Pelodiscus sinensis: one gene and its partners. The protein of the gene in region 4 purifies or fractionates together with the protein of the main gene of each other region. This does not show direct contact. Links are inferred from orthologs where the notes say so. Each region holds a gene or a part of one and is shown on either strand. Other genes may lie near its edges.

What was found.
Region 1: the proteins of TACC3 (region 4) and VASP purify together in Homo sapiens (co-immunoprecipitation; 3 studies listed by BioGRID and IntAct, with this or other methods). This does not show direct contact. The link is inferred for Pelodiscus sinensis from reciprocal best matches to the Homo sapiens genes TACC3 and VASP.
Region 2: the proteins of TACC3 (region 4) and ENAH purify together in Homo sapiens (co-immunoprecipitation; 3 studies listed by BioGRID and IntAct, with this or other methods). This does not show direct contact. The link is inferred for Pelodiscus sinensis from reciprocal best matches to the Homo sapiens genes TACC3 and ENAH.
Region 3: the proteins of TACC3 (region 4) and SLAIN2 purify together in Homo sapiens (co-immunoprecipitation; 3 studies listed by BioGRID and IntAct, counting the BioPlex papers as one, with this or other methods). This does not show direct contact. The link is inferred for Pelodiscus sinensis from reciprocal best matches to the Homo sapiens genes TACC3 and SLAIN2.

What each region holds. Positions count from the first base shown.
Region 1 is NW_027465849.1:6,816,149-6,823,534, forward strand, and holds the start of VASP (vasodilator-stimulated phosphoprotein), read right to left. Parts: upstream 3,009-7,386; 5' UTR 2,889-3,008; coding exon 2,854-2,888; exon of another isoform or gene 2,773-2,853; coding exon of another isoform or gene 2,768-2,772; intron 1-2,767. UniProt on the Homo sapiens protein: Ena/VASP proteins are actin-associated proteins involved in a range of processes dependent on cytoskeleton remodeling and cell polarity such as axon guidance, lamellipodial and filopodial dynamics, platelet activation and cell migration.
Region 2 is NC_134713.1:156,792,721-156,799,981, reverse strand, and holds the start of ENAH (protein enabled homolog), read left to right. Parts: upstream 1-4,258; 5' UTR 4,259-4,273; coding exon 4,274-4,317; intron 4,318-7,261. UniProt on the Homo sapiens protein: Ena/VASP proteins are actin-associated proteins involved in a range of processes dependent on cytoskeleton remodeling and cell polarity such as axon guidance and lamellipodial and filopodial dynamics in migrating cells.
Region 3 is NC_134715.1:87,514,871-87,522,542, reverse strand, and holds the start of SLAIN2 (SLAIN motif-containing protein 2), read left to right. Parts: upstream 1-4,669; 5' UTR 4,670-4,903; coding exon 4,904-5,271; intron 5,272-7,672.
Region 4 is NC_134715.1:119,855,948-119,863,394, forward strand, and holds the start of TACC3 (transforming acidic coiled-coil-containing protein 3), read right to left. Parts: upstream 3,011-7,447; 5' UTR 2,944-3,010; coding exon 2,810-2,943; intron 1-2,809. Other genes in the region: TMEM129 (E3 ubiquitin-protein ligase TM129), read left to right, coding at 4,902-5,106. UniProt on the Homo sapiens protein: Plays a role in the microtubule-dependent coupling of the nucleus and the centrosome. Involved in the processes that regulate centrosome-mediated interkinetic nuclear migration (INM) of neural progenitors.

The DNA of each region.
Region 1 (7,386 bases), on a different chromosome or scaffold from region 4:
ACCTGGGGGGGCGGACTCTGGAGCAGGAAGGGGGGGGGGAAGCAGCTGCCTGTAACCATATAAGGGCAGGTTTGAAGGACAGAGCCTGTTTGTCTCCAGGGGAGGAGGGGGGTTAAACAGGACACAATCCAGAGCTGCTCCCCTCTCCCTGTTTGGGGGATCAGGAACCCAGCCACCCCCAAAACACACCCGGGGAAGGGCTGAGCCCCGACCCACCCTCCTCCACCTGGGGAGACATGGGTGTGGAGGGGGGCTGGGCCGAGGCACCAAAGCTGGGCCTGGACACCCCTCCCCCCATGGAGGGAGAGGCAGCTGCCTCTGGGGAGGAGCAGGGCCAGTTGCAGGAGTCAGGCCAGGACAACCTGCCCTGCTCCGGGGCTGGCCCCTCCCACCCCGGCTCCCCTCAACTTCACCCCGCAGCACCTGCTACCCCAGTCCTGGTGGGGGCTGGGGGGGGGGGGCAGACGGGAGTCTCTGCAGCTAGGGAGGGGGAATCCAGGGGGCCTTGATCTTGTACCATCCCGAGTCCAGGGCTTCCCCCTCCCCCATGCGTCTGTTCCCCCCCCCCCTTCCCTGGGTGGGACCCTGAGTCACTTCCTGCCAAGCCCTGTCCTGCGGGTATGAGGGGGGGGGTTCCACAGCCTACCGCCCCTCCCCTGGCTCCCCCGCTTTCTGGGCACCCTGGGGACAACCCCCAGCAGGGCTGGGTGTGTTCATGACCCCCCCCACACACCTTCATTCCCCCTTGGGGTACCCCAGGAGACCCTCCTGGCCCAGGCCAGACAGCACCTAAGGGGTTCGTGCACCTGACTGCAGCCAACCCCCAGCGCCCAAGCCCCAGGTGTGTGTGGGGGGGCTGGGTGTCTCCACCCTCCCCCCACTTCCAGCAGGCTCTGGTCCCAGCACCCTGGGGTGGGGGGATCCCAGAATGCAATGGGGGTGGAGGGGTCAGGCCCTTCAGCAGGACCCCAGGGTATGAGGTGGGGGGAGAGGCAGGGCTCACCCCGCTTCTGCTGTAGCCCAGGGGCCTGCCAAGAGCCCCCCCCTCCGAACAACACCTCCCCCCCTACAGAACGGGAAGGGGAAGCCGGAGCCTGCCTGTGGCCACTTCCTGCTCTTTAGCAACCCGCAGACGCTGTGGCTCCAGCACCCACAAGCCCGCCCCACACGTCTGCCCCACAGATTCACACCCTCCAAGGAACAGCACCAAAGACAGAGCCCAACCCCCCCCCCCCCCCCAGCCACTCCAGCAGCTCTGGAATGTTTAGTGCCAACAGCTGAGCCCAGCCCAGGCAGGCCAGACCCCACCGGACCCCCCCCCCCCCCAGAGACACAGACAGCTGGGGGTTATGCAGCACCCAGCCCACAGAATGGGGGAACTTTCCTGGGACCCACCCCCAGGCGCAGCTGTGAGCAATGGGGGGTGGGGGGCTGCTCCCACAGGCAGGCATAGGGCCACCCTAAGGGAGGCAGGGGGGCCTGATGCACACACCTCGCCCTGCAGCCAGCCCGGGGTCCATGGGGGGCAGCACCCGGAACCAGCATCACTTGACTCCGGGTTTGGGCAGGGATCCGGGTCCGGGGGAGAAACTGGAGCCAGGATGCCTGAGTTCTGGCCGAGTTCTGCCAGGGGAGGTCAAGGCTGACCCCCACAGTGGGTTGTGACATCACAGACAAGCTAGCCCCCTGCCCCATAGGATCCAGCTCGGACACCCCCCCCCCCCCAAGAGCAGCCCCCTGCCCCACAGGATCCAGCTCGGACACCCCCCCCCCCAAGAGCAGCCCCCTGCCCCACAGGATCCAGCTCGGACACCCCCCCCCCAAGAGCAGCCCCCTGCCCCATAGGATCCAGCTCGGACACCCCCCCCCCCCCCAAGAGCAGCCCCCTGCCCCACAGGATCCAGCTCGGACACCCCCCCCCCCAAGAGCAGCCCCCTGCCCCACAGGATCCAGCTCGGACACCCCCCCCCCCAAGAGCAGCCCCCTGCCCCACAGGATCCAGCTCGGACACCCCCCCCCCCCAAGAGCAGCCCCCTGCCCCACAGGATCCAGCTCGGACACCCCCCCCCCAAGAGCAGCCCCCTGCCCTACACGATCCAGCTCGGACACCCCCCCCAGACCAGCCCCCTACCCCACACGATCCAGCTCGGACACCCCCCCCCCCCCAGACCAGCCCCATAGGATCCAGCTCGGACACCACCCCCGAGACCAGCCCCCTGCCCCATTGGATCCAACTCGGACACCAGCCCCCTGCCCCATTGGATCCAACTCGGACACCAGCCCCCTGCCCCATAGGATCCAACTCGGACACCAGCCCCCCAGACTAGCCCCCTGCCCCATAGGATCCAACTCGGACACCAGCCCCCCAGACTAGCCCCCTGCCCCATAGGATCCAGCTCGGACCCCTCCCCTCCGAGACCAAGAGCGGCTCTCGGGGAGGCGGAACCAGCCCAAGCGATCCTGGGGCCGCCAGTGCTCCGCCCGCCCGAGACAAGCACAACCCCCGCCCCCCAGCCCGGACGCTGGGTTCCTTACCGGGCCAAGCTCTGGGCGGAGGGCCACGGGGATGGGCGCCGGGGGCCACGGTGGGGGCTCAAGGCGCCCCCCGGGGCGGGAGACGGGCCGGGGGGAGGCACCAGAGTGACTCCCAGGGATACCCCTCCTCGCGATTCGGGGGGCGCCGGTCCCTAGTGCCCCCAGGCCGCCGCCCCCCGGGCTCCCCGCGGACAAAGCGCCCGGGGCGCAGGACGCGCGGCCGGTTCCTCACCCCATGGTGCCGGCTCCGGGCGCTCACTCCCGGCCGCAGCGGAGGCGGGGGCCCGGGCCCATGGGCTGCCTGCGGCTCCCGCCTACCTGGGCCCCTGGCTGCCCCGGCTCTGTGGGCGCATGGTCCCGGTCCCGGTCCCCGGCTCCGGCTACTGCGGGCTCCCACCCCTGCTGCGCTCCGGCGCGGCTCCACAATGCACCGCTCGGCCCGCCCCCAGCCGCCGCCCTCCTCCGAGGGGAAGGGCGGAGGGGTGAGCAAGGGGGCAGGTCGCCTGGGGTCTCCGCCCCGGGGACAGCGCTGGGGGAGGGGCTGGGTTCTCCGCCCCGTTGAGAGCGCTGGGGGGGGGGGCGGGGAGGGGCTGGGTTCTCCGCCCCGTTGAGAGCGCTGGGGGGGGTGGTTCTCTGCCCTGCTAGGGGGCGGGCTGGGTTCTCTGCCCCGCTGACAGCGCTGGGGGGGTGGGGGTTCTCTGCCCTGCTAGGGGGCGGGGAGGGGCTGGGTTCTCTGCCCCGCTGACAGCGCTGGGGGGGGGGGGGTTCTCTGCCCCGCTGACAGCGCTGTGGGGGGGGTTCTCTGCCCCGCTAGGGGGCGGGGAGGGGCTGGGTTCTCTGCCCTGCTGACAGCGCTGTGGGGGGGGGTTCTCTGCCCCGCTAGGGGGCGGGGAGGGGCTGGGTTCTCTGCCCCGCTGACAGCGCTGTGGGGGGGGAGGGTTCTCTGCCCCGCTGACAGCGCTGTGGGGGGGGGGTTCTCTGCCCCGCTGGGGGGCGGGGAGGGGCTGGGTTCTCTGCCCCGCTGACAGCGCTGGGGGGGGGGGGTTCTCTGCCCCGCTAGGGGGCGGGGAGGGGCTGGGTTCTCTGCCCCGCTGACAGCGCTGGGGGGGGGGGTTCTCTGCCCCGCTGGGGGGCGGGGAGGGGCTGGGTTCTCTGCCCCGCTGACAGCGCTGTGGGGGGGGGGTTCTCTGCCCCACTAGGGGGCGGGGAGGGGCTGGGTTCTCTGCCCCGCTGACAGCGCTGTGGGGGGGGGGGGTTCTCTGCCCCGCTAGGGGGCGGGGAGGGGCTGGGTTCTCTGCCCCGCTGACAGCGCTGGGGGGGGGGGGTTCTCTGCCCCGCTAGGGGGCGGGGAGGGGCTGGGTTCTCTGCCCTGCTGACAGCGCTGGGGGGGGGGTTCTCTGCCCCGCTGGGGGGCAGGGAGGGGCTGGGTTCTCCGCCCTGCTGAGAGCGTGTGAGCTGGATTCTCTGCCTACTTTGAACTCAAGCCTGGCCACTCTGGGTCAGGCCAGTAGTCCCCCAGCCCAGCGGCCTAGCTCTGACCACACCTGGCGCCGGTTCGCTAGGACAGAGCAATTATCCAGCCATCCATTCCCTGGCCCAGTGGCAGGGGGAGGCGGAGGCCAGAGTCACCCAGAGCATAGGTGACTCTTGGGGCCCATCCGCCCCTCCTTTGATGAACCCAGTTACGCTTCTGGGCTTCCTGGCCTCCCCTGGCGAGGAGTTCCACAGGTTAACTGCAGGGGGAAGTGCTCCCATGTAAACCTACTGCCTGTTGACTTCATCCATTCTTGTGTGAGGTCAAGGGATACATCCCACGGCCTTATCCCCCTCCCCAAACACGAGCATATAGTCCTGCAACCACACCCCCTACCCAGCATCTATCTCTCCTCCAAGCCCGGCCAGGGCCTGGCTTGTCTGTGATGTCACAGCTCGCTGGGGGCGTGGCCATGACCTCCCCTGGCAGGGCTGTGATGTCACAGTGAGTCCCTGGCCACGTGGGGGCCCCAGCCCCACAACCCCAGGGCTCCTGCCTGCACCCCACAGTGCTCCACCCCCAAGCCACTTTATTTGTGCCTGGCTTGCACCTCTCAGCTCCAGCTGTGCTCAGCCAGCCCTCTGGTACCACCTCGGATTGTACCTGCCCCACGCCCCACCTGGCACTGCCAAGCCTGTGTTCCCCTATGGCCAACTGTGTCCAGCCTGCGCCCCCCCAGTTCTGATTGTACCTGGCCTGCATCCGCCCACCCAGCTCTGGGTGCCACGCCAGCCCCTCCACCATTGCGTCCATCTCAGCAGAGCTGGGTGCGCGCGCACATGCACAGCAGATGGGCACATGCACCCAGCGGGGAGATGTGCATACACACACACACAGAGCGGGGGATGTGCACACACACGCACAGCAGATGTGCACACACACACAGAGCAGGGGGATGTGCACACACACATACAGCGGGGGGATGTGCACACACACATACAGCAGGGGGATGCGCGCGCACACACACAACAGGACATGTGCGTGCACCCACACACAGACAGAGCGGGGGGATGTGCACACACACGCACAGCAGATGTGCACACACACACAGAGCAGGGGGATGTGTGCACACACACAGTGGGGGGATGTGCACACACACACATACAGCGGGGGCATGCGTGCGCGCACACACAGCTGGGCATGTGCGGGCACACACACACAGAGCGGGGGATGTGCACGTACACACACACACAGCAGGAAATGTGCACACAGAGCGGGGGATGTGCACGCACACACAGAACAGGAAATGTCCACGCGCGCACACACAGCAGGGGGGGATGTGCACACATGCACAGCAGGAGATGTGCACACACACACACACACATACAGCAGGGGGATGTGCATGTGCGCACACACACAGCAGGATGTGTGCGCACGCACACACACAAAGACAGAGCGGGGGGATGTGCACACACACAGCAGAGGGATGTCCACACACACACACACAGAGGAAATTTGCACACACACAGTGGGGGGATGTACATGCACACAGCAGATGTCTGCGCACACACACACACAGCAGGGGGGATGTGCACACATGCGCACACACACACACACACACACACACACACACACACACACACACTTTCTCTGCTCTCTGGCCCCCCCCCCCGGCAGTCCCCCCAAGCTGTCTGTAGGCAGGCGGCTCCTGCCCTGTCACCTTCCCCGAGGGCAGAGTGGGCGCTCAGCATGGCACTGTGACCCACCGCCGGTGCCCGGCGTGGCCGGGGACACGTTTGGGCGAGGCTGCGCCACCCCCCAGCCAAGAGCCGTTCAACGGGGACCAGTGGCTGTGCCCGCCATACCTGCCTGCTCTTCTCATGGGGGTGCCTCCGCTCCAGTGGGGTCAGTGGCCGTGGCAGGCGTGGTGTCCAATCAGAGCCCAGTGCCAGGCACGTGGCAGGCGTGGCATCCAACCAGAACCAGGCACGTGGCAGGACGGAGGGTGGCTGGGGCCTGCTGCTCTTGCTGGAGGCTGGTGTCCCACGGGGGCTCGGGCCAAGGTTGGGTAGCGCCTGGGCAGGGGTCTGGCTGGGGCAGGGGGAGCAAGGGTCCCAGCTGGGGAAGGCTGGCAGGCAGGGCTGGGGGCACAGGCTCAGGGCCAGGAGGATGTGGGACCTCAGCACAGGAAGTCCAGGGGGCGCTGTGGTGGGGGGGGTACGATCCCGCCAGCCCATGGGCGGGGCCACAGTGAGGGTGGGAGGAGCCTCTACAGCCCGTGGGAGGAGCCACAGTGAGGGTGGGAGGAGCCTCTACAGCCCATGGGAGGAGCCACAGTGAGGATGGGAGGAGCCTCTACAGACCATAGGAGGAGCCACAGTGAGGATGGGAGGAGCCTCTACAGCCCATAGGAGGAGCCACAGTGAAGATGGGAGGAGCCTCTACAGACCATGGGAGGAGCCACATTGAGGGTGGGAGGAGCCTCTACAGCCCATGGGAGGGGCCACAGTGAGGATGGGAGGAGCCTCTACAGCCCATGGGAGGAGCCACAGTGAGGGTGGGAGGAGCCTCTACAGCCCATAGGAGGAGCCACAGTGAGGATGGGAGGAGCCTCTACAGACCATGGGAGGGGCCACAGTGAGGGTGAGTGGGGCTAGAGCCAGCCTGGGCTCCTGCACACTCTGGGGCTGCCCCAGCCCCGCATGCTGGGACCATCGACCTCTGCCCCCTGGGGTAGCTCTGTCCTTACTCCCCTCCCAGCCCCAGCAGCAGGGGGCGCTCTCAGAACCAGCCCCAGCACGGAGCCAAGGGACAAGGAGGCGAACGGGGGTCGGGCAGGGATTAGCTCCCCTGGCATGGGGCCAGCAGGCTCTCCCCCCACCCCACCCCGAGCGGGGGCGCCCCCTGCAGGGTGAGCGGCAGCATGTGCAGCACCTGTCCCCAGAGCAGTGAGCGAGGGGACCCTTAGCCAGCTGGGGGGCGGGGACAGGCAGAGCCGGGGCAGCTGTTCCCCACACACCGTTCCCACTTAGCACCCCCAGGAGGCTACAGGGCCAGTGGCTGGGACGGGGTGAGGACCAGGTTCTGCCCACACACCTGTGCCAGGCTGCCCTGGGGGCTGCACCCCCCCATTGCAGTGGACGGGTCCCTGTTCCCCCCACACACCTAGAGGCTCAGGCCCCTCCCACTTTGAGAGCCGTAGGCCAGGCTGGTCCAGCCCCACGTGCCTGGGAAGGCAGCAGCCACCGCACGAGGGACCAAGGAAACATGGGGAGCTGGAATTAATGTGGCACCGAGGTTGAGGGGGCCCCCTAGCCCCACAGCCCCCTGCCAGCTCAGGTCTGGACTCACCCCCCCCCCCCCCCCAGCTCTGCCAT
Region 2 (7,261 bases), on a different chromosome or scaffold from region 4:
AGGGAATAACCACAGGAATCATAGAATACTAGAACTTGAAGGGACCTGGAGAGGTCATCAAGTCCAGGCTCCTGCCCTCACTGCAGGACCAAGCACCGTCTAGATTATCTCTAATAGATGTCCGTCCCAACCTTCTCTTAAATATGGAGATTCTACAACCTCCTGAGGCAATTTATTCCATTGCTTAACCAACCTGACAGTTAGGAACAACTTCCTAATGTCCAACTTAAACCTCCCTTGCTGCAATTTAAGACCATTGCTTCTTGTCCTATCATCAGAGGTCAATGAGAACATATTTTTTTCCTCCTTGTAACACCCTTTTAGGTACTTGAAAACTTCTATCGTGTCCCCTCTGTTTTCTATTTTCCAAACTAAACAAACCTAATTCTTTCAGTCTTCCCTCATACATCATATTTTCCAGACCTTTAACATTTTTATTGCTCTTTTCTGGATCCGCTCCAATTTTTCCACATCTTTCTTCAAATGTGGTGCCCAGAACTTGACACAATACTCCAAATGAGGCCTAACCAGTGCAGAGTACAGTGGAATAATTATGTCTCAGGTCTTTCTCACAACAACCCGGTTAATGCATCTCAGAATCAGGTTTGCTTTTTTGCAACAGTGTCATGCTGTTGACTTATAATTAGCTTGTGGTCCATTATGACTGGTGAGCCCTTTCTCCAGTACTCCTCCTTAGACAGTCACTTCCCAGTCTGTATGTGTGAAACTGATTGTGCCTTCCTAAGTGGAGTAGTTTTCATTTGTCCTTATTAAACTTCATCCTATTTACCTCTGACCATTTCTCTGGTTTGTTCAGATCATTTTGAATCATGACCCTATCCTGCAAAGCACTTGCAACCTCTCCCAGCTTGGTATCATCTGCAATCAGTGCATGGAATACAAACATGTAGAAAAACCACTGCACTGCTCATCAATAATGAATGCAGTGCTGTGTACAGGAGACTGTAACATTCAACAGTTTATGCAATGCCGTTGTGCAGAGATATCACCTGGGGTTTGAACAATAAGTAGACAGGCTAAATAATCCCCTACAATATCTGAACTTATGTTTGGTAGAGAAACCACTGGAGGGTCCATTACTGTATGCATTGCTTCTATGCACAGGAACCCCAGCCCTGCACAAGTGTGCAGAGGGGCCACCACTCCCCGCCAGGGGTCGCCAAAGCCTAGTAACCCCGGTTCATTTCTCCCACAATTGCTGCTCATTCCCTGCTCCTCCCCACTTCAGAATCCACACGGAATGCAGACCAGTAGTGGGCGTGGCCCCGCCGCTCCGCCCACCGCGTCCCCTGCGTGCGGCCGTGCCCCCCACCCTCTCAAGCAAACCGGTGTCTCGAGACGCCCGCGCTCTGGTGCAGGCGCTCCCGCCCCTTCCCCCCTACTCCGGGAGTTGGTTTGTTCCTCTTCGTTCCCCTCACCCCCCGCTGTGGTCGGGTCTGGCCCGACCCGGCGGCTGAACGGAGAACTCGCTCGCACTCAGGGACTTCGCTGCCCATTGAAGGACCGGCTCGAGAGGAAGGGGGAGAGCGGCTCCCCGACGCGGGCAGCACCATGAGGTGAGGGGCCTCCGCACCGCGGTGTTCGCATGGGGGGCGCTGTGGGGGTCTCCGGTGGGAGGAGGGCCCGGCGGGGGGGCCTAGGCGGAGGTAGCCGGGGAAAGCGCGCGGGTCTGTGGGGAAGGGGGGGGCGTTGTTCGAGGGGCGGGTTCTCTGCCGCCTGCGCCGTTGGCTTGTTGCTCTGTGGAAGCGCCCTGGGGGCCGTTGTGCGGGCGCCGGGCGGGGAGGGCTGGCTCCGGCTCCGCGGGGATAATGGCCAGCCCGCCCGGCGCCTTGGGGAGCCAGCGGGCCGGGCGCGGCTGCCCGTACATGGCGTGAGAGCCCCTGTGATTTGGGCGGCGCGTGGGGCCAGCTTGTGAGCTCCTGGCGCGTCTTTTTTTTTGCGGGGCTGGAGGCTGCTCGCGATCCCGTGTCCAAGGCGGGGAGGGAGAAGCGCTGCCCTTCTATCGGTGTGTGTTGCATTGCAGCAGCAGCTGGGTTTTTCCCTGTGTAATCAATAGAGGCAACCCTCCATCCCCCCGCCCCTCCCGGCAGCGGGGAACACATTGTTCTTGGGGCGTGTTAGTCCCGATGCAAACCTCGAGCCGCACGTTGCTAATTCCTTTCGGGGGGGGAGTCTTTGTCCATTTGTCTGAGACTGAGCCTTTATGTGATCGTATTTGCTTGGCGACTATTTTTCCACCCGCTCCAGCCGTTTCGTGCCTGTTCAGTATCCATAAGCTCTCTCTGAATTGGTGCAAGACTTCGTGAGAAATGTGACTTTGTAGACTGAATGGTGATGTATTTGGAGACGCATTACTATGATCCACATAGGCCTGCCCATTAGGTTAAACAGTTGTCTGTGTGTGTGTCGGGGGGTGGGGGACTGTAAATTACCTAAGATATTGTCTGTCTTTGTAGTTAGACTTGAATCTTCTTTGTGTTAAAGATTAATGGCCAGCAGTTGCCACGTCCTTTAGAACGCACCAGTAAGCTTTACGTGATATAATCTACACATTCCTTTGCTGTGACAGTGTCAAGTCTAGGAATTCTTCACAAATGTGAGACGTTTCTATTTTAAAGTTTTTATTTAGTTTTTTTAGGGTTTTTTCCCCCAAGGGCAAATGTTAACCATGGAGCCTTGGCATATGAAGAACTGGGTTCTCTTCTCTCTCTCCCCTCCTCCCCATGCATTCTGTTCCTGGGATGGCTTTATTTTATTTTGTTTGTAGTTACTTATGCATTAAATTTGCTTTTTAAAGCTATTTTGTAATATTAAATAACTTTTCTCTTATTCATACAGTGTTCTTTCACAGGGCTAGCTTCTCAACACTTTAAAACACTCAATTAATTCATAGTAATTGCATATTTTGTATATAGCACTTTCTACTGTTTTGATAATTTAAAAAGTTTAATTTTTATATCTTATTTGCATATTTTAGAGGTGAATTTGTAGTTTTGAGGCAATCATTTTACTTAAGCTATGTCTCTGGTTCAAAAAAAGTTTGTTGGTACAGTTGTATCAACTAGCCCTCCTAATGTAGGTGCAGTTTATACTAGCAAACATACCTCTTTTGCCATTATAGCATGTACTGATTCAATGCATGAAATAAGCTATTCTGGCAAAAGAGACTTTTGTGTTCTAGCAAAAACACTTTTATGCATGTATAAATGTATGCACATTAAGAGTTTTTGCTGGTTTAAGTTTTGCCAGAGTTCCAGCATTACCAACAAAAGTTTAATGTAGACCTCCCCTTAATCTGTCTAATATTAAATGTTTGTATAGTATAGTGAACTTTAAACTGTATACTTGTACGCACGGGGCCTAAGCATAAGCAAAACATCTCATAAATCTATGTCTCTTCAAATTCTAAGTAGCAACTGTTTTTAAAAGGAAATTGTCTGGAGTTAAATGTTCATTATGAATGCTTGCTGATTTAAGGAAACCTCAAGAATTCTTCAGGAATTGCATAAATCTAAGCCTTGCCCAACCATGCAAATTGTATAGTTGTAACTAAATTGGTTTATTAACAAGCTAAATCAGCAAGTTCCCCTTGTGTTGGACAGTGTTAAATAGAATCAATTTCTCAATCTCTTTAGTTAACTAAGTACAATATGTGTAGCCAAAGCTTCAGTGAACATATTCTCTTAGGGCTTGTGTAAGTCAGCATAAAAGGTTGTATTTTTAAAATATGTTCTTTGAAAGGCATTAGTTAATTGGTCTTTACACAGTCTTACAGACAAGCAAGTTTGTATCTTTTCTGGTCAAGGTAAACCCTTTGAATGGGGGGCCAGGAAGAATCAATGCTTGCAATGTGACAAATGTGCTATTTGTCAAATAGCTAACAAGTTTTGGAAGTTTGCCTGTGTTAAAAATTTTTTTGCTAACACCTTTTAAAATATCTTCTCTAGTCTAGACAGATATTTAGTTATTAATTATCATAAATTAGGTGTAGTTCTGAGAGAGGTTCTTCCACTTACAGCTTAATTTATAATAAACAGAGATAATGTATACAATTGACACACTGCCTACTTGTTTTTCCCTTTGATATTTTCATACCCTCTGCCCCTTGTTTTCCACCCCCTTCCTTTTTTTTCCTTCCCCTTCTCCCCTATTTTTTTGGGGTCTGCACATCCTAAACTCAAAACTCCCGTCATCTGAAGAAGTGGGCTATACCACGAAAGCTCATAATACTATCTACATGTTTTGTTAGTCTATGAAGTGCTACCAGACCATTTGTTGTTTGATTAAAAAAAATAGGTGAGTATAATCTTTTCAGTGTACTCTTGTACAGAAAATTGCTCTGAACTATAACTTCATTTTACATGCTTGCGCTCTCAGGCGTGGGATAAGGGAGTATACAGCCAAGTGGTCAGAAAATTCTTTCCCTGCCATCCGAATTCTGAAGTAATGCTGGTCTGACTGATGAATGGCTGCTCCAATATTTGGAGTAGCTAGGTGGTTGAAAGTTAACAAATAGTTTCCCAGTTTTTACTTTATCAAATACAGCTTGCTGTCACCTGAATTCTAAAATCTGTGCAATGTAATAGGGCGCACATGACGATATGTATTTAAATATCAACAGTTGTTTGTAGATGCTTGAAAATTATAGAAGAGATATTTAGATCTTAGCTATTGAACACAGGATTTAAATTCTAAATCTTGAATTACACAGGAGTATAGACAAGTTTCTGTATAAAGTTTTGTTTCAGAAGTCCAACTCTTCAGTAAACTATTTTTTAAGGGTGAATAGGTAAACAGTTGATTTTTGCATGTCTGCTCTTTTTGCATTGTAACTGACAGAGTACGTGGTGTTCTGAATCGAGTGTTACGTGAATGGACTAATCTCATAATAGGTGTCCAGAAATAGTTAGATGTGACTAGGGATTCCATTGGCAATTGGAATACTAAAAACAGTGGCTGTTAATATCTGTATCTTAGGGGTTGATAAGTCTGAGCGGCCGTGTTAGTCTTAAGCTTTAAAATGAGTAATCCTGTGACACCTTTCTTAGAGATTAACAAAAAAATATAGAATCATGCATAAAACCTACTTCACGAGATGAGTTTTCCATTCCAACTCATTCGATAAAGTGCATTTTACCCACGAAAGTCATGATTCTATATATTTTTGTTAGTCTCCAAGGTGCCACAGGACTACTCATTTTTAGGGGTTAATGACTGACATCTTTGTACAATTAATCCAGAAAATATTCAAAATTTCAGTGTTTAATGATATTTTCTTTGTTTACAAATGTCTGGGTCTGATATCCCTCTTTATAGGTTATTCAGTTTTAATAGCATTTGAATTTCTAAATAGGAAAAGTAGCTGATCTGATTTTTTTTTCTAATGTCTATTTCTTAGTAAGTGATATGGTTTCCTCGTTCCCAATTTAATCTTTATTTTGATTTTAGATTTCTTTAAAACTACCTTCTGAAAATTTCTACTTTGAGTAAATATATATGATTTCTTTCTAACTAAGTAGTCATCAAAAATCAGTGAATCAGACTTTGGGTCTGGGCAGATAAGTTTTTCTTGGCATTTTAAAGGCTGGATTAAGATTCACTACTTTATTAATGAAATGGTAAGAGAACCTAGTTCCAAGCCTGTGGTAGCAAAGCTAGCTAGCTTAATTGGGATAAAGAATTCTTGGGGAATCTCAGTTGTCCTACAGTTCCTTAATGTTCAGTTATGCCTAGAAGTGACACTACTCACGACAGTAATAAAGTTAGGGTAATCTAAATTGTTTATTATTGTCAAGCTGAAGGAGCCAGTTATTCAGGAATGAGAGAATAATAAGGGTTTTGCAGCGTGCTTTGCTGTATGGGGTAGAATTTCAGAATTGGGCTTTTGTTGTAGTTTTTACTACCTGCATGACACATGACATATTTGGAATGGAAAATGAGATATGGTTTTGAAATATTTGACAAAATATTTAAAGTGAAGAGCAGTCAGTTAAATCTAGCGATATTGCTGTACATGTTCCTGATCACTAAATTGCTCATTTCTCTAGAGTAAAATTGGAAGTGTAGGCAGATTTTTCAGGTGGGCACAAGAATTCAGTTCAGGTTACTCTCCTTGCTCTAAGTAGACTGAGGCTGTGTCTTCACAACGAGCTTGGGGTGTGATTGCCAGCTTGTGTACACACATCATGAAAGCCAGTACAAGTGTAAATAACAGTGTTGCTGCAGTAGCAGAAGTATCATACCGAGTATAAACCCGCTTGAACCCTGTGGGTACATGCTTGGTGTGGCTTACACTACTATTTATATTTGTGCTAGTTCTCATCAAGCTAGCACAGGTATATGTGCGTGAGAGATGGGGAATTGCATCTCTAGCTTATAGCATAGATGTAGTTTAACAGTCATTTGTCTGATGCTATTGCAGACTTTGTTAGCTAGTGCTTCATTTGTGACAGTTGCAATAGTTCTTGCACTTTTTTTCTTTGTCTTATATGGAATCTGACAACTACTTTCCTCAAAGTCTCTGGATAGTCTATGAATTATTTTGATAGTAGGTTTATAAGACTTTATTTCACAAGAATAAGTAAATGAAATGCACATCACCTAGAATTCCTATTCTTCATAGATGGTTGCTTGTAACATACTAAGATGGCCATATTGCAGAGCTCTAAAAATTACAAATGACTTGGGGGTGGTGGGGTCCAGGAAGGTGATTTATAATTCAGCATTAGCCTGGAAGCATGCATACATGCAAGCTGCTTCCTCCTGATTCTGATGAAAGACTGTATTTTTAAGCAAGTCAAATTTAGCTGATACTGCTCTTCTCTCTTCCACTTTGAACTGTAGGGCATGAAGAACTGTATAGTCCTTTTTTAACCTCCCTCAGAATAGGAAGAAGCTATTCATTCAGCATACACACTCACTGGTCACCTACATGACACACGGAGATTTGGTCTACACTACAAAGTTAGGTCAACATAAGTTAATTTGTGTTGACCCTGTTGGTGCATAGTCAGATTTGTCTTTAGCTAACATAAGTACCCTGTTAAGGTGATGCAGTAAAACCATCTTTTTGAATGGCCTTGAGCCATAGTTGACCTACTGAAGTCAGGTCAAACAGTATCTACACTTGTACTGCACTATGTCAACCCTGGTGATTCTCCAACTGTCCCAAAATACCTGGCAGTTTCCGCTGGTTACAATTGTGAATTCCACTGTCCAGGGGTCTTAAAGTGGAAGCCAC
Region 3 (7,672 bases), about 32 Mb from region 4:
AACCTCATCCCTATCTGTCTAATCTACATGCCTCTGCCGACACAGCCTTGGTGTGTAAGGGGCTCCCCTGAAGGCCACATCTGCAAGATATAATAATCAGAAACATCATTATCAGTACATTCATGGCATCAAATCATCATAATAAAAGACTCCTCTTTCTCACTGTCCTTTGGCAAGCACAGAGATTAGCAAATGCCCTAAACATGCTGAGTTTGGCCAAGGAGGCTGGTCTTTCCTGATGGAACAAGGGTCATGGTGAGTTTTTTAAAGGGAATCACTGCAAGCAACTAGCAACTATATTTTTAAATTTAAATTTTTTAAATTCTGTCACCATTTTCCAGAGATGTGGTCACTTCAACCAATATCTTAATCCTGTAACGACAGAAAGGTTTATTGCCTGCCTGCATGTGACTTCAGAGCGGGTCTCTATATTGCTTGCCTGTGCACCACTTTCGTCCCTGTACAAGGAATTGCTGATTGGTGCTGCAAAGTTTCATACAATGGGGGAAGGAACAAAGAAGTTCTTCTAAGGACCCATCAGCAGAGGATTGGTGAAAACCAGGAAAGTTTACTAGTGATCTCTCTGGAAGATTCCCATGAAATTTCAGTGTTCTTTAATACACTATTATGGCCCACTGTGTAGATGCACCAGGGTATGGGAAGCAGATGCAAACATAGATGATCTTGTACATTTCTATCCCTTAATTCACTTCTAGCATATAACAAAAGACAACTCTATCTTATAGTGGTAGAAATGTAGCCGTGTTAGTCTGGTGCACTGAAACAAAAAACAGGACTGTGTAGCACTTTAAAGACTAACAAGATGGTTTAATAGGTGATGAGCTTTCATGGGCCAGACCCACTTCCTCAGATCAAATAGTGGAAGAAAATTGTCACAACCATATATACCAAAGGATACAATTAAAAAAAATGAACGCATATGAAAAGGACAAATCAAATTTCAGAACAGAAGGGGGATGGGGAGGTGGCGGGAAAGGGGGGAAGAAAATATCTGTGAGCTAATGATATTAGAGGTGATAATTGGGGAAGCTATCTTTGTAATGGGTAAGATAATTAGCGTCGTTATTCAAATTTGCGTGTAAAGTGTCGAATTTAAGCATGAATGATAGTTCAGAGGATTCTCTTTGAAGTGAAGTCTTAAAACAGGGGTGTCCAAACTTTTTTCAAAGAGGGCCAGATTTGATGAAGTGAACATGCGTGAGGACCGACCATTTTGCCTGACATTCTTTGAACCATTAAAATTAAATGCAAATTAACTATTTTATGCAAAGCTTATTGCAAACGGCATACTTTTCATTTCGTCACATGGATGACAAATTTAAACAGGTGTTAAATCACTCTGCCTTTCATATCTGAAGGCCAGATGAAAAAAAAATCCAGGAAGCTGAAATATATGTCAGGAACATTGTAAAGTACATTACATATTATTGGTAATAAAGGTTGTCTGTCAACTTTTAAGTTCAAAAAATATGAACAGGAACATAACACCAAGTATACATGTTGTGTCCAAATATATTTATAACTGATTTAGACCAACTGACATTAACTGAGATTTTACAATGTATTCATCTCAATACATATGGATTCGTTGGGGGCCATAAAAGATAGATATTGCCAAATTACCTGGGGGGCCGTATTAAACCGGAACACGGGCTGCAATTGGCCCGCGGGCCGGACTTTGGACATGCCTGTCTTAAAAGGTCTTTGAAGCAGGATGCAAGTAATCAAGTCGTTGAGACAATGTCCTTTCTGCTTGAAATGGCAAGAAACTGTTTTTTCTTTGTAATCCTGTCTGATATCTGTTTTGTGGGCATTGATCCTTTGGCGAAGTGTCTGAGACGTTTGTCCAATATACATAGCGGACGGACACTTTCGCCACATGATAGCATAAATTATATTTCTGGATGCGCAGGAATATGTGTTCTTGATCTTATAACTCACTTGTGTAATTATAACTATTGTAGAAGCTATTTCATATTTAGCTAGAAGCCATTCTGTATAACAAAAAGCCATTTCAGTTTCTTCTGTCTGCACGAAGGAGTGAACTGGCCTTCACTGAGGTGGGGAGAGACCAGAGGGATGCGCTGTTGGAATGTGTTAATGAACTATTTTGAGCTGAAGCTCGAACTCCCTTTTAACCTGTTTCTTTCTATGCTGATAATAATTCCTCTTTGAAGTTCTCTTTGATTTCTTGCCCTGACATCAGACTTGTTTGATTAAGGGTATAAAATACTAGGATTGATTGTATTAAGCAGCCTTACTAGGCCCGGCTTTGCTAGGACCACGTTTAGCTCACTTTGCTTTTATTAGCCAATAAAACTGTCTGTTTAGCCGCGTAAACTGAGTGAGGCGTTTGCTTCGACACTATCTTATGTAATTGATCAGCTGGAACTCAGAATGTTCACTTACCAGAGGTTCCTTCTTCTGCATCATGAGTGTCACAGATGGAGCATTAGGACCATCTTGAACTCTCCAGCATCAAGAAGAGATCCTGGCTCACTGTGACGGGACTCGGCAGCCCCGCACTGTAGCCTCCACCGCAAGCGCCCTGTTTACGGCGCAGGCGGGCAAGGTACCGGCATTATGCTGGGTGCTCGCTGGCCGCGGAACGCGTTGCAGCTCCAGGCGCTGCACCCAGAATGCGGCCCGGATGCAACAGGGTAGGTGGGGCCACATATGTGACGTCAAGGCAACATCACGCCTGGCACCGGGAGCGGCAGGGGATTTAAACGCCGCCTGGTGCCAGAAGAGGGGGAGGTGTGTGTGAGGGTGCGGGGTGTGCCAGCGGGGCTCCCATGCAGCAACGGGGACCCAAACCCGGGGACACAACAAGGCAGCCAAGGCCGCTGGAGGGCCAGGTAGGCTCCGCATAGGGGCGGCAGGACCCGTGGGGAGTGGAGAGGAAGCAGCCCAGGGCAGGGCAGCACTGAACGCCAGCAGGCTGACGGGTTTCAGCAGGGGCCCCCGTCAGCCGGACTGGACCATAGGAGGTTCACGTCCTTAAGGCCCTGGCCTGGGGCTCGTCAGTGAGGGCGGTCCCGGGCCCCCCTCTTCCTTGGAAGAGGGAGTTCCTGGCGCTTGAGGGGGCCATAGCGCACTCCATCCACACCTCAGCTTCTTGGCAGTGGAGGTAGATTTGCTGTTGAAGATGGTGTTGAGATCCTTATAAAAACTGCAGGTCCTCAGAGCAACACTAGAGTGATAGTTTGATTCCTCTGCTTTCCCAGAACCTGATCTTCACACAGCCCATATCCATCATGCCATAAGAAATCTAACTAAATGTATCAAAAAACTTAAACAGCAAATAGTTTTGCGCACCTTAAAGACTAACAAAACATGTAGGTGGTATCATGAGCTTTTGTGGGCACAATCCACTTCTTCAGATGAATGTATCAAAGTTCCCACAGCTGGAGTGAAGCTGGTACTGCACATCTTCGACTGTCTACAGACCCAGTAGATCAAATCACTCTGGTGTGCTCCAAGGTGGAGAATGTTTGCTGTATGGAACGGCCATGATCATCAGGGAAGATGCAACATTAGCTGTCCACACCATGCAAATATAAAGGGGAATTTCAAAAGTTCCCATTCCTTAAAAAAAAAAAAAAAGAGTAGATGCCTGCATACCTGGATACAGGGCTGCAGAGTTCAAATTTCTGACCAGAGTAATCCGGATGGGCATTGTGGGACACCTCCTGAAAGCCATTTATGGCAACATAACCAGTGTTTACATTGATACTTTGTCAATCTAGCATTGCTGCTAAAAGCTCTAGGGCTCTGGTTGTGGTGATTTTATTTTCTCAGCATAGCAGGAGATTTTTGTCCAAAATGAAATATTAAACTTGGTTTAGGAAGTGGAACCTTGGGCCAGGACCATGCAGCATTTCCCAAAGTATTGTAAGGAAGGCATCATGCCTCAGTGCTTGTCAGCATGATGTTACTGACACCAAACCGTGTGTTTTTTTAGGGAAACAGCGTGTAGGAGCGATTTAAATGGTAGGAGCCACAGCTGCTGTCCTCTCTCCCGGCGGGCCCACAGGAGCAGCCCGTTTGCAGGCCTGGCCCACCCACCACAGGTTACACACTGGCTCGCTGGAAGCGGACCTAATAGAAGATTCGTGTTACTTTTTAAAATGTTTGCTGGACTTTCACACCCTGGCGTGGAGAAGTGAGTTACCGGGCGTACTGCCAAAGTTAACTCCTCCACCTATTTGATTGCTCATTTAGATGCGCCAATCCCCTTTTCTCTCACTAGAGATTTGTTTTCTACAGCGCCCCAGTGGGGGAGGTGAAGCAGAATTATCCCCGATGTGTGCGCCCAGGGCTAGTACAGCCTGAGCCTGGAGCTTGTGGGCGGGGGCACAAGCCCGGAGCCTTTGTTCGTTTTAAAGGGGCCAATGGTGCCCGGCAGAGGCTCGCAGGGGTGGCGGGGCACCGGCCGGGCAGGGGCCCTAACGAGGTGCCGCAGCCCCGACGTTCCTGGGAACAGGCGATTTCACCGCCACCATGGGCCGGGGGCGACGGGCCGCGCGCCGCTGTGAGCTCAGCCCCGGCCATTGTGCCGCTCGCCTCTGCCTCGTGCGCGCGGCCCCGCCGGCAGCGCGAGCTCGCTCCGGGCCCGAGCCCCGCCCCCCTGCACGCGCGCTGTCCCGGCTGCACGCCGGCCGCGTGACGCCCGGGCGGGGCGGGGCCGGGCAAGATGGCGCCGCCGGCCGGATGTGTGTGTCTCCCTCCCCCCGCGGGCCGCCGGCGCAGCTGACGAGGCGGCGGCTCCACGCTCGGCCGGGCCCAGCCCCGGCGCAGTCACCGCGGCGGCGCCTCCTTCTCCAGGCCCGGCCATGTAGAGGGGGCCGGTTGCTGCCGCCCGGAGACGTGACCCGCCGCCATGGAGGACATTAACTCCAACGTGAACGCGGACGCGGAGGTGCGGAAGCTGCAGGAGCTGGTGAAGAAGCTGGAGAAGCAGAACGAGCAGCTCCGCAGCCGCTCCGGGGGCCCCGCCAGCCCCAAGCGCCTCCCCAGCGGCAGCGGCGCCGCCACCCCTTCCTCGCGGGGGGACCTGGGGCTGGAGAGCCGCTGCCTCAGCCCCAAGGCCGGGGCCCGGCGGCCGCCTGCCGAGGAGACGCGAGACAGCAGAAGCGGGACGGCGGCCGCAGCGGCCGGGGAAGGCGGCAGCTTCCTGGACGAGGTGGAGCCTCTGCGGCCCGAGGAGCTCGAGAGCTTGGCCGGCTGCGAGGAGGACGAGACAGGCTGGTGAGGAGGCAGAGGGGGGCTCAGGGCTGTGCCGCCTGGTTGCTCTACGTCCGGGGCCCGGGCTCTCCAGCTCCCGGGCACAAGCAGGGGACTGGGCCTCGCTGTATGGAGCTCAGCCCCCGCCCCCATTCCCTGACCCAGCGCAGCTCGGGGTGCGGGGAGCTAACAGGGGTCATTTGTTTACTAAAACGTGCTGCGAGTGGGCGTCGTTCTGCCCCAGTGGTCTGAAGTCGAGCTCGCTCTCTGAGGCTGGAGGGGGAAAGGTGACTTGCTTAGAGTCCGTGACAGGTAGGAAACCTGGTGCTCTCAGGGTCAGACTTCTAAAAAACTGCCTGGTGAGCTCCAGGTGATTCTCTGTTCTGTGACTGGCAGGGGCTGTACATCTCTAATTAGCCATGGGAAAACCCTGTTTTTTGCAAAACCAGAGTTGGAAAGGAACTGCAATGATCCCTTAAGAGTATGTCTATACAGCAAAGTAAAATTGGCTGGACTGAGTTTCATTTGGGCTTTGGGGATGTTTCACTGCTTGTTAGGCTTTCAGGCTCAAGGCCCAAGCTCTGGGACTCTAACCTCACAAAGTACTAGAATTTAACTCCAGCTTGAGCCCACATGTCTACACACCAGTAGAACTGCTGCAAAGCTGAAACCCTGCAAACTCCCATGTCAGCTGGCATGGTCCAGCCACCAGTGTTTAGTTGATATTTAGATGTACCTGCAATGGGCACCCAAGTGTTATCAGTAGTTATGGCAACATTTCAGGAAAACCATTTATTCACATTTCCTTTATTTCGTGATGTATTGCCTTGCATATCTTATTACATGGCTAAAAAAAACCCCAGGCTACGTCTACATTGGCCCCTTTTCCGAAAGGGGCATGTTAATTTCAGCGATCGTAATAGGGAAATGCGCGGGGGATTTAAATATCCCCAGCGGCATTTAAATAAAAATGTCCGCCGCTTTTTTCCGGCTTTTAGAAAAGCCGGAAAAGAGCGTCTACACTGGCCCCGATCCTCCGGAAAAAGCGCCCTTTTCCGGAGGATCTTATTCCTACTTTGAAGTAGGAATAAGATCCTCCGGAAAAAGCGCCCTTTTCCGGAGGATCTTATTCCTACTTTGAAGTAGGAATAAGATCCTCCGGAAAAGGGCGCTTTTTCCGGAGGATCGGGGCCAGTGTAGACGCTCTTTTCCGGCTTTTCTAAAAGCCGGAAAAAAGCGGCGGACATTTTTATTTAAATGCCGCGGGGGATATTTAAATCCCCCGTGCATTTCCCTATTACGATTGCTGAAATTAACATGCCCCTTCCGGAAAAGGGGCCAATGTAGACGTAGCCCCAGTGTGTGGTCTCTTCTGTACTAATCCCCACCGTCTCAAAGTACTTACTGTGTTGTCTTCTCTGTGGTAGAGCTGGTGGGGGCTACTCTCCTATCAACACTGGTTACATCCTGGTGGCTGGGAGAGGGCATGGAGATGGATTTATCTCAGCTAAGCAGACGTAATAAATTGCCAGCTGAGGGATCGATCGCGGGAAATAGAATTAAGATAAATGTCCATGCAGACTTAACTCTCCTTCCAGAGCTGGCAGTAGCAAACAGGAATTACTTGCATGCTCTCCAGTTGTTTTGTGTTTTAGGTGTAACTACTTTGTGGTGGAGGCAGTATGTGCAACAGGTTGTTAGATGTCTTGATATGAGGAAATCAGGATAGTTTTGAAGTGTCAAAGAGCTGCCATTGTGATATGAAGAGATGTGGGTCTGAGTTACCCCATGAGTGTGATCAAAGGAAAGATGTACATGCATATACTGGTGTTATATGCATATACTGGTGTCTAGTCGGTATCTTTTCAGTACAAAATTGTGTGTACTGTGTCATAGCAGGGCATTGTGGTCTTGTCATAGCAGGGCATTGTGGTCTTGTCATAGCAGGGCATTGTGGTCTTGTCATGGGTACTGACAGCAGTGAGATGGGACACAAGTGATCGGTGAATTTGGATTTAAAAACATAGTTTTAAGTTGTATACTATGTGGCAGAGAGGAGGAGGTATAAAAGAGGTTGTTCTGCATTTTACAAGTGTGGTATTCTGTCAGGTAGGGATGTCAAAGTATAACTGTTTAAAGGGTTGACTGATAAGCCTGAGCTTATGGGTTACTGTTACTGGTTATATGCAGGCTTCTACCCAGTGCTGCTGCCTCTGTATCAGAAACAATAGCATGGGGTGGCAGCCAACTCCTGGCTAGGAATGTGACAGTGTAAACATGTAAATGGTTACATGTGGGGTGGACAGGCAGGAGAAGGTGCTCCCAAAACCTACTTATCTCCTCCCTGAAAGGCACCTCACAGGGAGTGAGGGAGGCAGGAGCCGGAGTGTGTGGGGGAACCAGCTTCCCAGGTGTATCTGCTCCT
Region 4 (7,447 bases):
CATGGGCCACATGTGGAGTAGATGAAAACCAGATTTTTATACGGAATATAATATTCCCATGCAATGCGAGCACAATTTCTCATACTTCCTTTTCCAGAGAGTTTTAAATCAAAGACAAAGGATAGATAATTTTAGAGCACAATGAGCTCAGGCTCATTGATTAACTATTTAAACATGTATACTAACACATCCCTATTATGAACTAGGGATGTTAACTAGAACTAAGCATGTGGGGGGGGGGGGGGGGGGGGGAAGAAGTCTGCTTCTGCTCCCGCACCCTCTCTCCTCCCCCACTACACTTGGGGCTGCCAGCAGCCTCAAGTATGGGGGAGGGGGAAAGAGGGGGAGACAGCTTCATGCTTGGTGCTGCTGCTCTCAGCCCCCTTGGGACTACAGCAGCCCTCTGCAGGCCATTCCCAGATACCAGTTAACTGGTGCGGAGTAAACATCCCTCAGTAAGAGTGATACTTACCAGGTAACTGGTTGTCCATAATAGGGATATAATGGGTAATACCTTCAGTTACTCAGCAGAACATGAAAACAGGCAGCTTCAATTAGGGATGTGAAAGGTTGTTTGTAAGTGTCTAACTGCTCAAATTTTTAGCAAAAAATCCTACTGCATTTTAACATCCCTAATCATAACCAGTAAGCCTCACCATTGGCAGGTGACGCTTACTGGTTATGATTAGAGATGTTAAAATGCAGGAGGTTTTTTTGGTAAATGTCTAACTGCTCAAATTGTCAGCAGTTATATGTTCACATGCTCAGGGAAGGGGGCAGAAGCTCCTCAGGAAACCGCTTAAAAGCCAGCTCCCAGCAAGCACTGGCTTCCACCTGCTCCCCTTGCTGTTGCCTCTGATACAGAGGCAGCAATGCAGGTGGGGTGCTTGTGTGTAACCGTGAAGGTTAACTGATGAGCCTGTCTGCAGCATGCTAGGAGCAACACCTACACTTCTCATTTAATTGATTAACCGGTGAAATAGAAACTTTAACTGGTCAACTTGTTAAATGGGATTTTACATCCCTAGCGTCAATGGTATGCATGTTCGTGTTTTATATTAGCATATGCATGTTCTCTATATAGTTCATAAAACAGTGGGTCTTAACCCGCAAACCACTTAGAATCATAGAACTGGAAGAGACCTAAGAAGGTCAACAAGTCCAGCCCCCCTGCTCTAGGCAGGACCAATTCCACTAAATCAACCTGGCCAGGGCTTTGTCAAGCCGAGACTTAAACACCTCTAGGGATGGAGACTCCACTACTTCCCTAGGTAACCCATTCCAGTGCTTCACCACCCTCCTAGTGAAATAGTTTTTCCTAATATCCAACCTGGACCTCTCCCACCACAACTTGAGACCATTGCTCCTTGTTTTACCATCTGTCAGTACTGAGAACAGCCTCTCTCCATCCTCTTTGGAACCTCCCTTCAGGAAGCTGAAGGCTGCTATCAAATCCCCCCTCACTCTTTGCTTCTGCAGATTAAACAGCCCCAAGTCCCTCAGCCTCTCCTCATAAGTCATATGCTCCAGCCCCCTAATCATTTTGGTTGCCCTCCGCTGAACCCTCTCCAATACATCCATATCCTTTTGTAGTAGGGGCCCCAGAACTGGACACAATATTCCAGATGTGGCCTCACTTGCAGCCCAATCAACACACACTTCAATCCATAGCTGAAACAAAAGACAGGACTATGCAGCACTTTAAAGACTAACAAGATGGTTTATTAGGTGATGAGCTTTCGTGGGCCAGACCCACTTCCTCAGATCAATTTGTGGAAGAAAATTGGCATGACCATATGTACCAAAGTGATACAATGAAAAAAATGAACACACATAAAACTGATCAATCAGTCCTAACCATGCCAGTTACAAGATCAAGAACACATATTCCTGCTCATCCAGAAACATAATTTATGCCATCATATGCCTAAAGGGTCCGTCTGCTATGTATACTGGACAAATTTCTCAGACACTTTGCCAAAGAATCAATGCTCATAAAACAGACATCAGGCTCCCTCACAGACAGAAAACTGTTGCTTGCCACTTTAACCAGACTGACCATTCTCTCAATGACCTTAAAACATTCATATTGCCTCAAAGAGATTTTAACTCCAGACTTCAAAGAAAAGCCTCAGAACTGTCATTCGTGCTTAAATTTGACACTTTATCTATGGGTCTTAAAGATGCTAATTATCTTACCCATTACAAAGGTAGCTTCCCCAATTATCACCCCAATGTCATTACCTCACAGACACTAACCTTCCCCCCACTGCCCCGCCTCTGTTCTTAAATCTGATTTGTCAATTTTATATATTTTTTTTAAATTGTATCACTTTGGTATACATGGTCATGCCAATTTTCTTCCACAAATTGATCTGAGGAAGTGGGTCTGGCCCACGAAAGCTCATCACCTAATAAACCATCTTGTAAGTGCTGCATAGTCCTGTCTTTTGTTTCAGTTAGACCAGACTAACACGGCCACATCTCTATCACTCTTCAATCCATAGGAGATCCTCAAGGCCACACTGGTAGCATATGCACCCTGCAAAGGTAAATACGTTGAGAAGCACGGTCATAAAATAACATCGATATTTAAAGTTTCCTTGAGCACACATGGAAAGCATGCCACATTTAAAAAAACAAACAAACTTTTTCTGCAATATTTAACAATTAGATTTAAGGATTCAGTGACAGCATAGACATTGGGCTGACTATACAATGTAAAAAAATTAACTAACCAGTAACAACTGGTTTTTAATCAATTACAAGCCATGATTGCCAGGCTGATTTACTCAGCCTTCTCACCTACCCAGAGTCACGTCTAGTAAGGGCCAGCAGCAAAGGAGCTGCATGTGAGTGACTCGAGACTGAGGAGCGGCACAGCCCCACCAGCGACCCGAGCTGCCCGTCACGCCTCGGCCCAATCCTCGGAGGATTCAACATCGTTCTCCCTCCCGTGACGCGTTTCTGAGGAACAAGGCACGGCCCTGGAGTCGCCCGGACTCGGTCACCAGCGGGGAGAATGGACTAGAGGGAGCGGCAGGCGAGGAGGACGAGGCCGGCCGAGCCCGACAGTCGGACAAAAGCCCCCCCCCCCCCCCCCCCGCCATCTCTCCCAGTTTTGTCGGGATCACCCCAGCAGCCAACCCCACCGCGCCTCGGGACCCCCATTACTGCCCCCCCATATCCGCTCTCGCCCAGCCCCGCCCTCCTCCCAGCGGGGACCCCACAAACCTCGCCCCGGCCCCTCGCTCCCCTACCTGCCGGCAAGTCGCAGGCCTCAGGCCTGCCCGTGCGCTCCGCTGCCCGGGTTCCTCCGCTATTCACCCCCAGCCGCTCTCAGAGCCAGGCTGCCGCCCCCCGCCTCAGGATTTCAAATGTCAACGTTAGCTCGACTCTCCAATAACAGGCCCAGAAGCTGCTCCTCGATATGAACAGACCAATCAGCGAGCGGGCTCGGAAAGGGGCTCACAGCCAATAAGAGCTACCGCACCCAAAGATCGCGAGCGTTAAGCCGTGCTGCGGTGAGGCATGCTGGGAAATGTAGTTTTCCTAAGGGAGGGGTGAGACTGGAGCGGCTCAGAATTTAAACAGACAGCACAAACGCACCAAGAGAGCCAGAGAAAGCATTGTTCACTCCTGAGCCCCAGTCCTAGAAAGGAAGCTATACGCCTGCTTGGAGTTCCAGGCTTCCAAGAAACTCTATGTGCACATTAATAGCTGATTTAGACTTTAGGTTAGCCTTTCAATTTTTTAGCTAGGCCTGTAAAATACTAAAAAGAAAAGTGGCCTAATTCTCAGAGGTGCTGAGCATTCAAGCTCCCCTGTAAGTCAGTAGGAGCAAGGAATGTTCAGAATGTCCAGATTTGGTTGCCTATAGTTAGGTGCCTAAGTTGGAAAATGCAGGTTTGCTTACCTTGACCAGGACCGCAGAAATCAGTTTCAAAACCGAGATTGATCCCCTACAGTCACTGCTTTGTATAGCCCTTGTGACTAAGGATGCTACAGGGATATCCGGTTAAACGGTTACTCAGGAAGCACCACTCTCATTGGGAGAGGGTTATTATTGGGTACCAGTTAACTGGTCCCCAGAAGCAGCTTCCCTCCTCCCTCCCCCCGCTCCCAGTGTCCCAGCCTGGCAGGGGCTGGGAGCCATGGTGGCAGCCCTCGCCTAGGACCTGGAGCAGCACCTGCCTGTATCAGGGGCCACTCTGTCCTGACCCCAGCAGGCGGGGGTGGGGGCGCTCTATCCCTGCTGGAGCGTTCCCCCCTTGCCCTCTTTACATGGTTAAATGTAGCAGCGGTGTTGTGTTTAACCAATAAAACGAGATTTAACATCCCCGCGTGTGACCAGAGCATCATCCTGGCTTCTCAGTACAGAAACTAACTCCGCCAGACACAGTGGCCTGGAGTAATAGGGGAGCTTGCACCCGCTCTCAACCGGGTCAGGACAGCCCCCTCGTGTGAAGTGGCCACAGCTCTTCTTAAAAAACAAGGCCCTGCGGTAATGAGGTTTGGGGACCTCCAAGCCCAGCTCAGGGCACCTCCGGCGGGCGGTCTCTGAATAACTCTCGCTCGAGAGTTGCTTGCTATCGCCCCACCAGCTGGAAACTGTAGTGTTGCACGAAAGCCGAGACTCCGGTTAAGGAGCGGGGACGCTGGCTCTGCTGCCCAGAGGGGTCTCTGATGCTGGCGGGGCGAGCTAGAGCGCGCAGCTTCTCCAGGCGTCTCCTTGCTTTGCAGCCCGCTGGAGCTTCCCCGCCCCCGGGTTACCCGGGTGGGACCGCTGGGCGGAGGCCACGTAGAGCATTCCGGTCCTGGGAAGCCGGGTTCGCGGCACAAACTTCCTGTCCCAGGCAACAGCGCGGCGGCGGGGCCGAGCGGGCTAGGAGCGGGGAGCTATGGAGAGCCCCGCCGCGACCTTCACTCTGGCCTACTTGGTGTTCGCCGTCTGCTTCGTGTTCACCCCCAACGAGTTCCGCTCGGCCGGGCTCACCGTGCAGAACCTGCTGGCCGGCTGGCTGGGCAGCGAGGACGTGGCCTTTGTCCACTACCACCTGCGGAGGAGCACCGGCACCATGCTGGCCCACAGCCTGCTGCCGCTCGGTGAGGCGGAGCTGCGGGGAGAGTAGCCAGGGGCTGTAGGGAGGGGGGAGACTGACCAGGAGAGCTGTGTGGAGGGAAGGCTTTGGAGGTGCTGAGGGAGAATAGACATGGGACTGTAGCATTGGGCGAGCATCCTCCCTTTGGTGAATGCAGCCTTGTCTTCACGGAGTTTGAAAAATGTTCCCTTGACCTGTGTGCGTGGGTGGGTATGTTCTGAAGGAAGGCAAGAACCAGATATTGAAGGTTGAGAGCTTGTCTTGTCCATAGCTTTGGTCTCTTTGCATGATTCTGTCTCTTTAGCAAATCCACAAACTCAACAGAGATACCTGTGAGGTAAAACAGTTCCTTCATATGCATAAGAACTTCATTAATCTATACTAAAATAATGATGGTCTTGCCCTGCCTAGGAGAGGAGATCTAACATCACAATGCCTTAATCAGATCTGCTATTACTAAGAATTCATTGCTTTATAAAAAAATCACTATTCCAGGATTGACTCAGACATTATAGTATAGTATAAATAAAATATCAATGGGAAAAATACAGTGAAGTGCAGCATCTTCTTACCTTCTAACTGACTGTTTACTTCATAATTTGCAGAATTTGACAGTCAGTAATGGGTTTTCCAGCAAATGGTGCAAATAGCAAGGTTCTGCTTGGAGTGTTAGATATGAATTATTCGAGCTGCTATTGAGAGTGGCCTCTAGAGTGCATGTTGTAGGGAAGTAAAATTCTGTGTAAACAAGAAATGAACACAGTCTTGCATTCACCCTGATCATGGTGCTCTGCGTCATTATGCCATTCTAATAAGGCAGTGTAAGTGAACGTAAGTTATACTTAAATAACGAGAAGTCCCGTGGCACCTTATAGACTAACAGATTTATTGGAGCATAAGCTTTGGTGGGCAAAGACCCACTTCATCAGATGCATGTAGTGGAAATTCCAGAGACAGGTATAAATATACAGACACATGAAAAGAAGGGAGTACCAATCAAAAGGAAGGCCAGAGATAACCAGGTCAGTTCAAGAGCTTCAGGGGGTAGCTGAGATAGCACTTTATAGACTAACAGATTAACAAAACATGTAGAAGGTATCATATTTATTTCCATATTTTATATCCCCAACTCATAACTCCGGATATCTGAAGGAGTGGGCTGTGCCCACGAAAGCTCATGATACCATCTACATGTTTTGTTAGTCTATAAAGTGCTACCAGACCACAGATCAATTCAGTCAGGGAGGATGTGGTCCACTTCTAGCAGCTGGTGTGAACACCAAAAGGAGAGAAACTGTTTTTGTAGTTGGCTAGCCATTCACAGTCTTTGTTCATTATAAACTGATAGTGTCAAATTTGCAAATGAATTGTAGCTCTGCAGTTTCTCTTTGGAGTCTGATTTTGAAGGGTTTTTTTGTTGCAGGATGGTTACTTTTAAATCTGCTACTGCTAGTTGTGGGTGAGGATAAAGTCAGAGAGCTCAGCTACCAGTTGTGCCATGGCATCATCAGGGATATTGTTCCTGACAGCTTGTATTCCATCTACATGTGGGATGTTGGTATAGAGAGCCTCTATATCCATGGTGGTTAGGATGGTGTTTTCTGCAAGATCACCAATGCATTGTAATTTTCTTAGGAAGTCAGTGGTGTCTCAAAGATAGCTGGGAGTGCTGGTGACAGACAGTCCTGCAGTAAGAGTATCAATGCCTGAGATGATGGGGCATCCAGGATTTCCAGGTTTATGTATCTTGGGGTATGTCTACACTACCACCCTAGTTCGAACTTGGGTGGTTAATGTAGTCATACGGAGTTGCAAATGAAGCCCGGGATTTGAATTTCCCGGGCTTCATTTGCATAAAGCCGGGCGCCGCCATTTTTAAATGTCTGCTAGTGCGGACTCCGTGCCGCGCAGCTACACGAGGAGTAACGGTAGTTCGGACTAGGAAGCCTAGTCCAAACTACCTAGTCTGTGCCGCGTGTAGCCGCGCGGCACGGAGTTCGCACTAGCGGACATTTAAAAATGGCGGCGCCCGGCTTAATGCAAATGAAGCCCGGGAAATTCAAATTCCAGGCTTCATTTGCAACTCCGTATGACTACATTAACCACCCTAGTTCGAACTAGGGTGGTAGTGTAGAAATACCCTTGGGTAATAGATAGAATAATTCTGGTTGGGGCTCTATGGGTATGTCTGTGTAGATTTGTTCCTGTGCTTCTGTAGGGAGTATCCCACAACTATTTCAGATTTGGGGACAATTTATACCTTCGAACCAGTGGCACCGCTATGGGCACCCGCATGGCCCCACAATATGTCAACATTGTTATGGCTGACATGGAACAATGCTTTC